2 linked regions of the Coturnix japonica genome follow. The protein of the gene in region 1 binds, or shares a complex with, the protein of each later gene. Links are inferred from orthologs where the notes say so. Each region holds a gene or a part of one and is shown in the gene's direction. Other genes may lie near its edges.

Region 1 (4,406 bases):
CCCACAGCAGCCAACTCCACGGGTCAAGAAGCCTCAGTGCTGCACGTTGTGAAACTCCTGGCAGCGGGTGGGAGTGATGCAAGCTGCTGTCACTGGCTGAGGTGGTGAACGCAATCCCTACAGACCTTGAGCCTTCAGAAATTAAAGAGCAGCCAAGGAAAATAGCAGATTACGAACCGATTTCAGCCAGGTTAACGGAGAGCTGAGGAGTGGCCCCAGATGTGCTGGTTCACCCCAGTGCCAGAAATGGGATACGCAGAGTTCTGCCTTTAAAAACCGATTTAACCTGAAACACCGGGAGATTCTGCGTGGGTTTATTACCCCATCGCGGGGGAGATGGGCAGCAACCCCGGGCAGGACTCGGCTCTATCTGCTCTATGGGCTCTGTCAGCTCTATGGGCCCTATCATGGGCTCTATCTTCTCTATGGGCTCCATCGTGGCGGCCGGGCCCCGCTCCCCTCATGGTCGGGCGGACATCCCGCCCAGGCCGGGCACCCTCAGCCCCGCTCGGTCCGTGCCCCCCCGCCCCATCCCCGCCCCCACCTGCTCTGTCCGTCCCGTTTCACTCCGTTCCGTTCCGTACTCTCCCCGCTCTGTTCCGTTCTGTTCCGTCTCGTTCCGCCGCCGCCGCCTTTTGTTCGCTGGGACGCGGCGCTGCCTCCCCGGCCCATCGGCCTACGGGCTCCGCCGCCGCCCATTGGCTGCCGCCGCCGTCACGTGTGCGTTGCCTGAGCGCCGCTCGAACGCCCATTGGTCGCCGCCGGTGGGGCGCGCCCGCGCGGCCTTGTGGGAGTCGTAGTTCCGCCCCTCGCCCCGCCCCCACCCCCCGGTACCGGCACCGAGCGGGGACACGGGGCGACACACAGACACACAGACACACAGACACAGACACACACATAGAGCCCAGAGCAGCACGGCCGGCACATGGCGGGACGGTGTCACTGCACGGCACCGGAACCGGCACCTGAGAGCAGCGGGTGGATCGAACCGGGGCTGAGGGACGGGACGGACTGAGCAGAACCGAACCGGGACCGACGGAACCGCCGGGACAGACGGAACCGGAGCCACTGAATCAGTGAGAGGAACGGACGGCGCCAAACGTTCATCGCGTTCATCCCATGGGCCTCATCCAGGGCCGGGATGAAGCCACGGAGCAAGGCCCGTGCACACACAGCACCGTGCGCACTGATAGTCCCGGTACACACTGATATTACCGGTACACACTGATATTACCGGTACACGCTAATATTACCGGTACACACGCCGCCCCCCGGCCCATCCCGCTCCTTTTCCCTTCCAGGACCCTCCACCCCCAGGACCTCGGTGACGTCACTTTGTGGGCGGGGCTTGGCTCGGTCCCGGAAGTGGCGCCGTTGCCCGGCAGCCGTTGCCAAACGACGGCGTCGGTGCCAACATGGCGGAGAACGTGCCGCCCGTCGGAACCTTCCCGGGCTTCATGACCGAGGCCGGGCTGCTCTATAGGCGGGGCGAGTACGGCAAGGCCCTGAGCTGCTTCAACAACGTGAGGGCACGGGGGGGGGGGCGAGGCGAGGATGGGGGGGTTGGGCCTCATCCGTCAGCCCGGTCTGTGCCCGTTGTGCGATCCCGGCCCTGCAGGCGCTGAAGCTTCGAGCCGGGGACAAGCACGGCCTGGTGGGACGGTCACGGTGTCACCTGAAGCTCGGGGACATACAGAGCGCGATGAGGGACGTGGAGGCGGCGCTGCAGGGCGACAAGGCGTTCTCGGAGGTAAATAGAGCAAATATAGAGCAAATATAGAGCAAGTAGAGCAAAATAGAACAAATAGGGCAAATAATAGAGCAAATAAAACAAATAGAGGAAATAATAGAGCAAATAGAGCAGAGCTGCAGGGCTGTGGGGCTGGGGGCAGCACAGCGCTGCTGTCTGTGGGTATGAGCAGAGCACTGTTGGAGGCTCTGAAGCACTTTGTTGTATTTTCCCCCTTGAAATGTCATTCCAGGGCCTGTACCAAAAGGCCGAGGCGCTGTACACCATGGGGGACTTTGAGTTCGCTCTGGTGTTCTATCATCGAGGCTCCGAACTGCGACCGGAGCTGCAGAAGTTCAGGCTGGGCATCCAGAAATCCCACGAGGCCATTATCAACTGCATTGGAAGTAAGGAGCTCCCGTCACGGTGCCTGCAGGCTGAGCCTGTTCATGTGCTCTGTCACCAGCTGCTATTAATAATAATAATAATAACAATAATCATAATCATAATAACAGCTGATGGCTGTGAACTCAACGTGCTTCCTAAGTACCAAGTAACAGCAGGGTTCCTTTGCTTCTGGATTCATGAGCTCTGCAGCCATTCTTATTTGAAACCAAGAAGCACCACAAAGCCCACGTCCCATCCTCTCTTTCTTCTTCTTTTCTTTTTGCCTGGATGCCTGTTCACCTGCAGTGTCTGATAACTGATAATTACAGGAGTGAATTATGACCCCAGCACTTACACTTCTAAAGTCACCATAGAAACGTCATAAATAATGCAGAACACAGCAGCACTCCTCCTTACAGCCCTGATGGTGACAAAATCCATTTTGAGATCCTTATCCCAGCGTTAAAAAGCTTAGAGTGAAATCTGCCCACCTGAGAGCGGCCTCCCTGAGATCCTGATTTTCCTCCAATTTCCATTGCACAAGAGCAGTGAAACTGTTGACTATTGCAATGGAGCGTTGCTTTCATAATTTCTGGCGTAAATCAGAGAACTGAGTCCTGCAAGAGACAGGACAGGCCAAGGACCTGCTGGGGTTCAAAGCAAATGGAAAACTTTTCCCTCATTTTTTCTCTTAGCAGTGCTCTCACATGCAGGCAATGCAGGCACACACACACACTCAGCTGGGGCTGGCTCTGTGGGTGAGTGGCTTATCACGTGAAAGAACCTGTGCACAGCTGGCAAAGCTGCTGCAAAACCTGCTGGGACAGTCACAAACTGCTCAGGTGGATCCTGTCCCATCATGGAGCCAGAACACGCCCGGCCTGCACGCCCCACACAGGCCTCGATCACACAGATAACGCAGCTGCCTTGCCTTGAAATCGCTGTTGGAATTGCAGCCCACCTCCAGCAGTGCAGATTGGCTTCACGTCCCAGCTGTGTGAAAGCCTGCAGCTCCTCCATATGTGACAGGCATTTTAAGGCAGATGATAGAGCAATTTTCCAGATCTGTTGCTTTCCTCTGTTCCTGCTGCTTTCTCAGCTCAGTGCAAACACCAAGACGCCCTCGCAGCTCTCTGTGGAAACACCTGTCATGCTTGACGTGCTGAGCTGAATGCTTTAAATGCCTTCAAGCATCTGGACCATATACAAACAAACAGCATAAAAACCACGAGGTGTTCTAAATGTTTAGTAGCTCCTCTACTGCATTTCTAGAGCAGTAACAAGTGTTTTCTCTGTATTTGCAGCTCCATCCTCAGTTAAACTGAAGAACACAGAGGGTCTCTGCTTTGTAAGCCGGCAGGCGGAGGTACAGTGTGAAGAGCTCTCGATTTGGAAGCTAATTAAAGTTGTTATTACACTGTTATGTTCTGGAACAGGCACAGAGGATCAGCGGTTTCTGCAGCAGGGTGGGGGGGGGGATATGGCTGCTTCAGGGAAGCGCATCCTGGGCATGTGAAACAAATGAATCCAGTCTGAGGATTTTAGTGCACCTGCCTTTGGTGCAGCTGGGGCTTAAGCCACACAAAGCAGACAGGAGAAGGCAGAAGGGCAGGGAAGAGCAACAGATGGGAAACAAAACCCCATCTGAAAGTCCTCTCACAGCCTGACCAGTGTTCCTATTGGGTACTGCTCACCACCCATCAAAGGCTAATGAGTAACAGCGCCGAGGTGAGAGCAGGATACACTTACCCACAGTGTTTACTTTGGTCTCACCTGCTGTTTGACGTTCACTTGTCTGATAATGGCCACTTTCTCAATTGCTTCATTTCGGGGTGTCCACTGAAGCAACACTTTGTTCCTCTGAGCTGCCACCCCACGTTTCCCTTTGAAGGCAGTGCAGTGAATGCTCCTTTCTTTCCCTCAGCTGGAATTATGGGTAGTTTGCAGTGAAAATCATTTGCACACAGGAGCCTAAAAGCTCTTTGTGAGACACTGATTCTTGCTTCTACTTAAAGGACCTTGACCTACACAGAGGTCAGCAGTTGTGGAAGCCAGGCCTTGCTGATCATTCCAGTGTTCCCCAGCAATCCCACCACATTTACTTTACTATTTTTCTTGCTGTAGAGCAAAAAAGCAGAAGAGAAACTCCAGATCAAACTGAGCAAGGATCAAAAGTCCACAAAGAAAAAGGAACCTGCAAGGAGTCAGAAAACAGAGCGGCAGCTTCTGGGAGAGCTCTATCCTGACAAGGCCTACCTGGAAAAGCTGCTCAAGGACGAAGGTTTCCTCC
Region 2 (4,339 bases), on another chromosome or scaffold:
AGAGCAAAGCTTAGTTGAAAAAGTGTAGGGGAGAAAAAAAAGTGGCTCATCAGAACAATCTCTTGCAGCATCTGAATTACAAAAACTAAAACTGTAAAAGAAAAGACTGCTCTTTAAGTATATTGAAACTATTTATATAAAATGAAAGAACGTGTCCCATGCCAGAGGTACAGGTCTGAAGGGAGCATTTTACTTTATCAGCACCATAGCAGCTGTGTTTGTGCGTACTCTGAGACATCTTCATTTACTCTGCAGTCTTTTGCAGTGATGAAGCATTTAAAAATGCTTGCTCCTCTGTGAGCTTTCATTTAAAAGAAGAGACTGTGTTGTACTAATAGATCATTCTTTAGAAGGTGCAGTATCTTGGTAATGGAGCAACACACAGAAAATCATTATATTCTCACTGAAAGCATTTTAACTGTGTGATGATTTGCTGATGAGTAATTAGTTTAATGCGTAAATTATTTAAATATTTCATAACTTAGAAATAATATTTCCATGTAATTTTAAAGCAGAAGTTTCCTAATACCTGGAAGGCTTACTGTTACTTGCAAATATATTGCTTTATGTAGGATGGCAAAAATCATCACAGAAAGAGGAAGAAAGCCGATCGTGGTGATGGGCCTTTATCATCAGAGTCCTTATCAGAAGCGGATCAGACAGAGGAGGTCAGTGTGAAGGCTAAACTTCAGCTGTTATAATGCTTTCAGCTTACTGATTCCCATGAGTAAGCAGCTAAAACTAGCCCAAATTGAATATATTATTGAAATGTTCTGTTCCATACAATTGATTTTAGTGCAACTCCTACCACATACAGGTCATTCTGAATTAATGTTCTTGAAACTTTACAACTTTCCATGGATGCTTTGGGGTTTAATAAAATGAGGCTAAGTGGTGCCTCACAAGAGTTCTCTCTGATCACTGAATACAGACAGGCAGGAGGTTCCAGTTTGCTGTTTTTTTTCCATTAAAATTTCAACCATGTTATTCACTCGGTAGTTTTACTGTTACATCTCTCTTGGCTGCTTGTTCTGCAATGTTTTAATAGCAGAGTGCCTAGAAATCAGACATTTATTGGATTACAGTTATTATAGAATATAACACTGTTATAGTCGGTTTCTTCAGCAACTGCTCAGTCTGCCCTGTCAATGTTCTGCTGTTTCTCATTTTTATACAACAAAAGTTCAAACTTCATATAAAACAGCATTTCCAAAGCTGCTGTCTCATTACATGACATTTATTTATTTATTCATTTATTTTAGGTTCAGGTGAAAAAGAAGAAAAGCAATGAGGAGAAAGAGAAAGCAACAGCAAGTATCCCTTATACTGTAGTGTTAAGACAGTAATATCTTGTACTTGGTTAATTATTTTATAATTTCACAGTAACACAAATGCTTTATAGTTAAAGTCAGATGAGTTGAAATTTGATATTTCTCTCTTTATCTGTTGAAGACACCTTTTTAGCTGCATAATTAAGAGACAGGTTTGTCACTACTTTAACTACATAGATATATATGTATATGAATTGAGATGTATTTAACATCCATTGCATCAAGTCAAAATATGTTTTACACTGTACCAGCCTAACAGAACTACAAATTTCTGTATAAGCTGAGGTAGCAACATGCCATATAGGTATTGAGGCTGTTCCTTTGTAGGAGTATCATGTATAAGTATTCCTTTGTACACCTTCTATACCAGAGCATAAAGAGGGCCTTAGGACACAATCTCTGCAGCATCACAATACTAATAGAATTCTTCCCTCAAACAAAAGAAGTGCTGCTGGCAACCTGTTGCATTTCTCTGCTTTGTGGATACTTCCTCTGATGATAAAGGTGGGACAAAGGTTCAGCAGTGATACTGTAGGACCTCAGATATGTCCCATGTACCTGAGTTAGAGATGTAGTCATTCTGAGCTACTCTGTATGCACTATAAGCAGCACTGTTCATAATTAGGTACCTCAGTTGCTCAAATGAGTTATGGTACCTAAGCACAGGAATTTCAGTACATGTTTTCTGTGGAATTTGAGTTCGTTTGCTTGTCATAAAATTACTAATGACTTATTTTTTATCTTAAAAGAGACAAGTAATGTGTCTATTGTAGAACTAAGATATACCTAAGTCGCTATGTTTATGTTGTTACACCTACTGAAGAATTCCACTTGAAAAAGGATAAGTTTTGATCTTTCAGTTTTTGATTGAACCTGGTGGTGTTAATTAAGTGTATATGTGAATATTTAAAAATGAAACTCTTATCTTTTGTTTTAATTAAGGTGCAAGTGCTGGAGATTTTAGCCTAGTATAGTGCACTGTGAAAATGAGCACCTAATTGAAGTCTGTAAAGATGCGAGTTACTCCCATATATGTCAGATCTCAACGCAGTTTATTATTTTCTTAGAAATCTGTAAAGCACTGAGAAAGCATTAAAAAGATGAAGAAATATGATAGTGATGATGCTGAGGGCTGGGAAGGAGCCAGACCACAATGGAGACGAATTGAAAACTCTTTGTAATAGTGCACATTGTGAACTTTCCTTTTGTGATTTTCCAATAGGCTTTTATAAAACTCTGCTCTGAAGTGCCATAGATTTTTTACAGAAACATCTTCCAAAATGTCTCAGGAGAGCTTTCATTGCCCTGCTCCTGCTGTTATTGAATGGAATTCAGTAGATGGAATTTTGCTCATACTCTAACTTCCTTTTTGCTTTTTTCTTTATTATTTCTTTTTCAGGATAAAGCCAAAAAGAGAAAGAAGCACAAGAAGCACAGTAAAAAGAAGAAAAAGAAAGCTGCTGGCTCAAACTCGGATTTGGAATAGTATTTAAAAAAACAAAAAAAGCAAGACTATCAACAAAAGTGCAATGACTGAAGGAAATTGAAACTGTGAAATGATAACAAACTTTACCAAACTGCATGAGTTTTCCTGTGTTCTAGAAATATTCCTAATCTTTCAGTAGCCAGCCAGATGCAGCTGTGCTGGGAAAGACCGTTGTTATTGCCTGCTGCTTAATACATGAGGTACAACTTTGATTAAAGTCCAGTAAGCAGTGTTAGATGTTTGAAACAACGTTAAGATGGTAGCTTAGTCCAGCTAAGATGTAAAATATTGGGAAGTAAGAGTTAAACTTTTTAGATACTGAAAGTAGTGTTTTAAAGCGTTAGTAATAGCCTTTACTTGTAAATCAGGACAAATAAAATCCCAAATTCATCTTGTAGGTTTATATTATACTTAAAGAGTTACCAGCTGGTGGCTGCGAATGGCATTTATGGAACGGGAAATGAATGACAACGTATAAAATGCTGCCTTTGTAGTAATTGCCCCATTACTGTCTTCATGCTTATGAGAAAGGGAATGCTACCATTTGGCTAACTGAATAGGGTGCCTTTGCCTTGATCCTTGCAAATCTCTGCTATTTTTAATCCACGCAGCATCTCTGATTCTAGAGAGGCCAGAACTATTGTCAGCAGACCTTTTCTGAATAAGCAGTTCTGGGCTTCTGAGCATGTGCTTCTGCATTAAGCAAGAGCAATGACATTTTGCAGTGTAACTGACATTCAAAGCCAGAAGACTTTACCTCTGCTTCTTTGAAATAGCGATAGATCTGTGCTAGGAAATGAGCATATTTCATTTCATTTCATTTTGGTTTAGTCGAACACTTCTTGCAAACTCCGGTAGTTTTTTCTTTTCCCTTCACATTAACTTTTGGATCGCTGTGCATGATTTGTACCTTTATTAAATTAACAAAATGCAGGTAATCATTCATTGTAACCAGTTCTCTGGATTATGTTCCACATGCAGAGTTTTGTGTACGTATTTAGTTACTCTTACAGTTAAGTTCATTGCTGTGTTGAAGTGCACACTTGCTGAAGATATTTAGCATGTAAAAAGCAGGGTTTTGATACCTTAACAGCTTCATATTGAAGCTGATTTTACTCTAAGCAAGTTCAGTGGCAGACCTGTTACATGACGCATCTTGTTAGATTAAGGAGAAATAAACCACCATACTGCCAGAATCTCATTAAATATGCTGTTTAAACAGTTTGTATTTATATTTTTGTACTGGAGGGCTACAGAATGTTGACCTAAATCATAAAGCTGTTTTATTTTAAATTAGTTGCTTTAGGAATTGAAAATAAGCTTTTATAAATTAAATGTGCACGCAAGAAAACACAAGCAATCGTTAGACTTCAGTTTTTACATGAAATTCTCATTGTATCTTCCATTGAAGTACCCGTGGCTGCGCCTGCTTTAGCCTTTAACAACCGCCCATCTGTCTGAGTGGTCAGCTAGAGATTACAGGAACGATCCGCCCCTTTTGCCACTGCACAGGTGCTAACTT

What was found.
Region 2: TTC25 (region 1) and EFCAB1 share a complex: the UniProt entries of both Homo sapiens proteins name them as parts of the outer dynein arm-docking complex. The link is inferred for Coturnix japonica from reciprocal best matches to the Homo sapiens genes ODAD4 and CLXN.

What each region holds. Positions count from the first base shown.
Region 1 is NC_029542.1:4,350,618-4,355,023, forward strand, and holds the start of TTC25 (tetratricopeptide repeat protein 25), read left to right. Parts: upstream 1-1,320; 5' UTR 1,321-1,415; coding exon 1,416-1,523; intron 1,524-1,618; coding exon 1,619-1,750; intron 1,751-1,982; coding exon 1,983-2,136; intron 2,137-2,144; exon of another isoform or gene 2,145-3,310; intron 3,311-3,420; coding exon 3,421-3,482; intron 3,483-3,889; exon of another isoform or gene 3,890-4,240; coding exon 4,241-4,397; exon of another isoform or gene 4,398-4,406. UniProt on the Homo sapiens protein: Component of the outer dynein arm-docking complex (ODA-DC) that mediates outer dynein arms (ODA) binding onto the doublet microtubule. Plays an essential role for the assembly of ODA-DC and for the docking of ODA in ciliary axoneme.
Region 2 is NC_029517.1:20,677,855-20,682,193, reverse strand, and holds the start of EFCAB1 (EF-hand calcium-binding domain-containing protein 1), read left to right. Parts: upstream 1-1,346; 5' UTR 1,347-1,835; intron 1,836-2,730; 5' UTR 2,731-4,339. Other genes in the region: protein FAM133B, read left to right, coding at 573-668, 1,263-1,346. UniProt on the Homo sapiens protein: Component of the outer dynein arm-docking complex (ODA-DC) that mediates outer dynein arms (ODA) binding onto the doublet microtubule. Seems to regulate the assembly of both ODAs and their axonemal docking complex onto ciliary microtubules.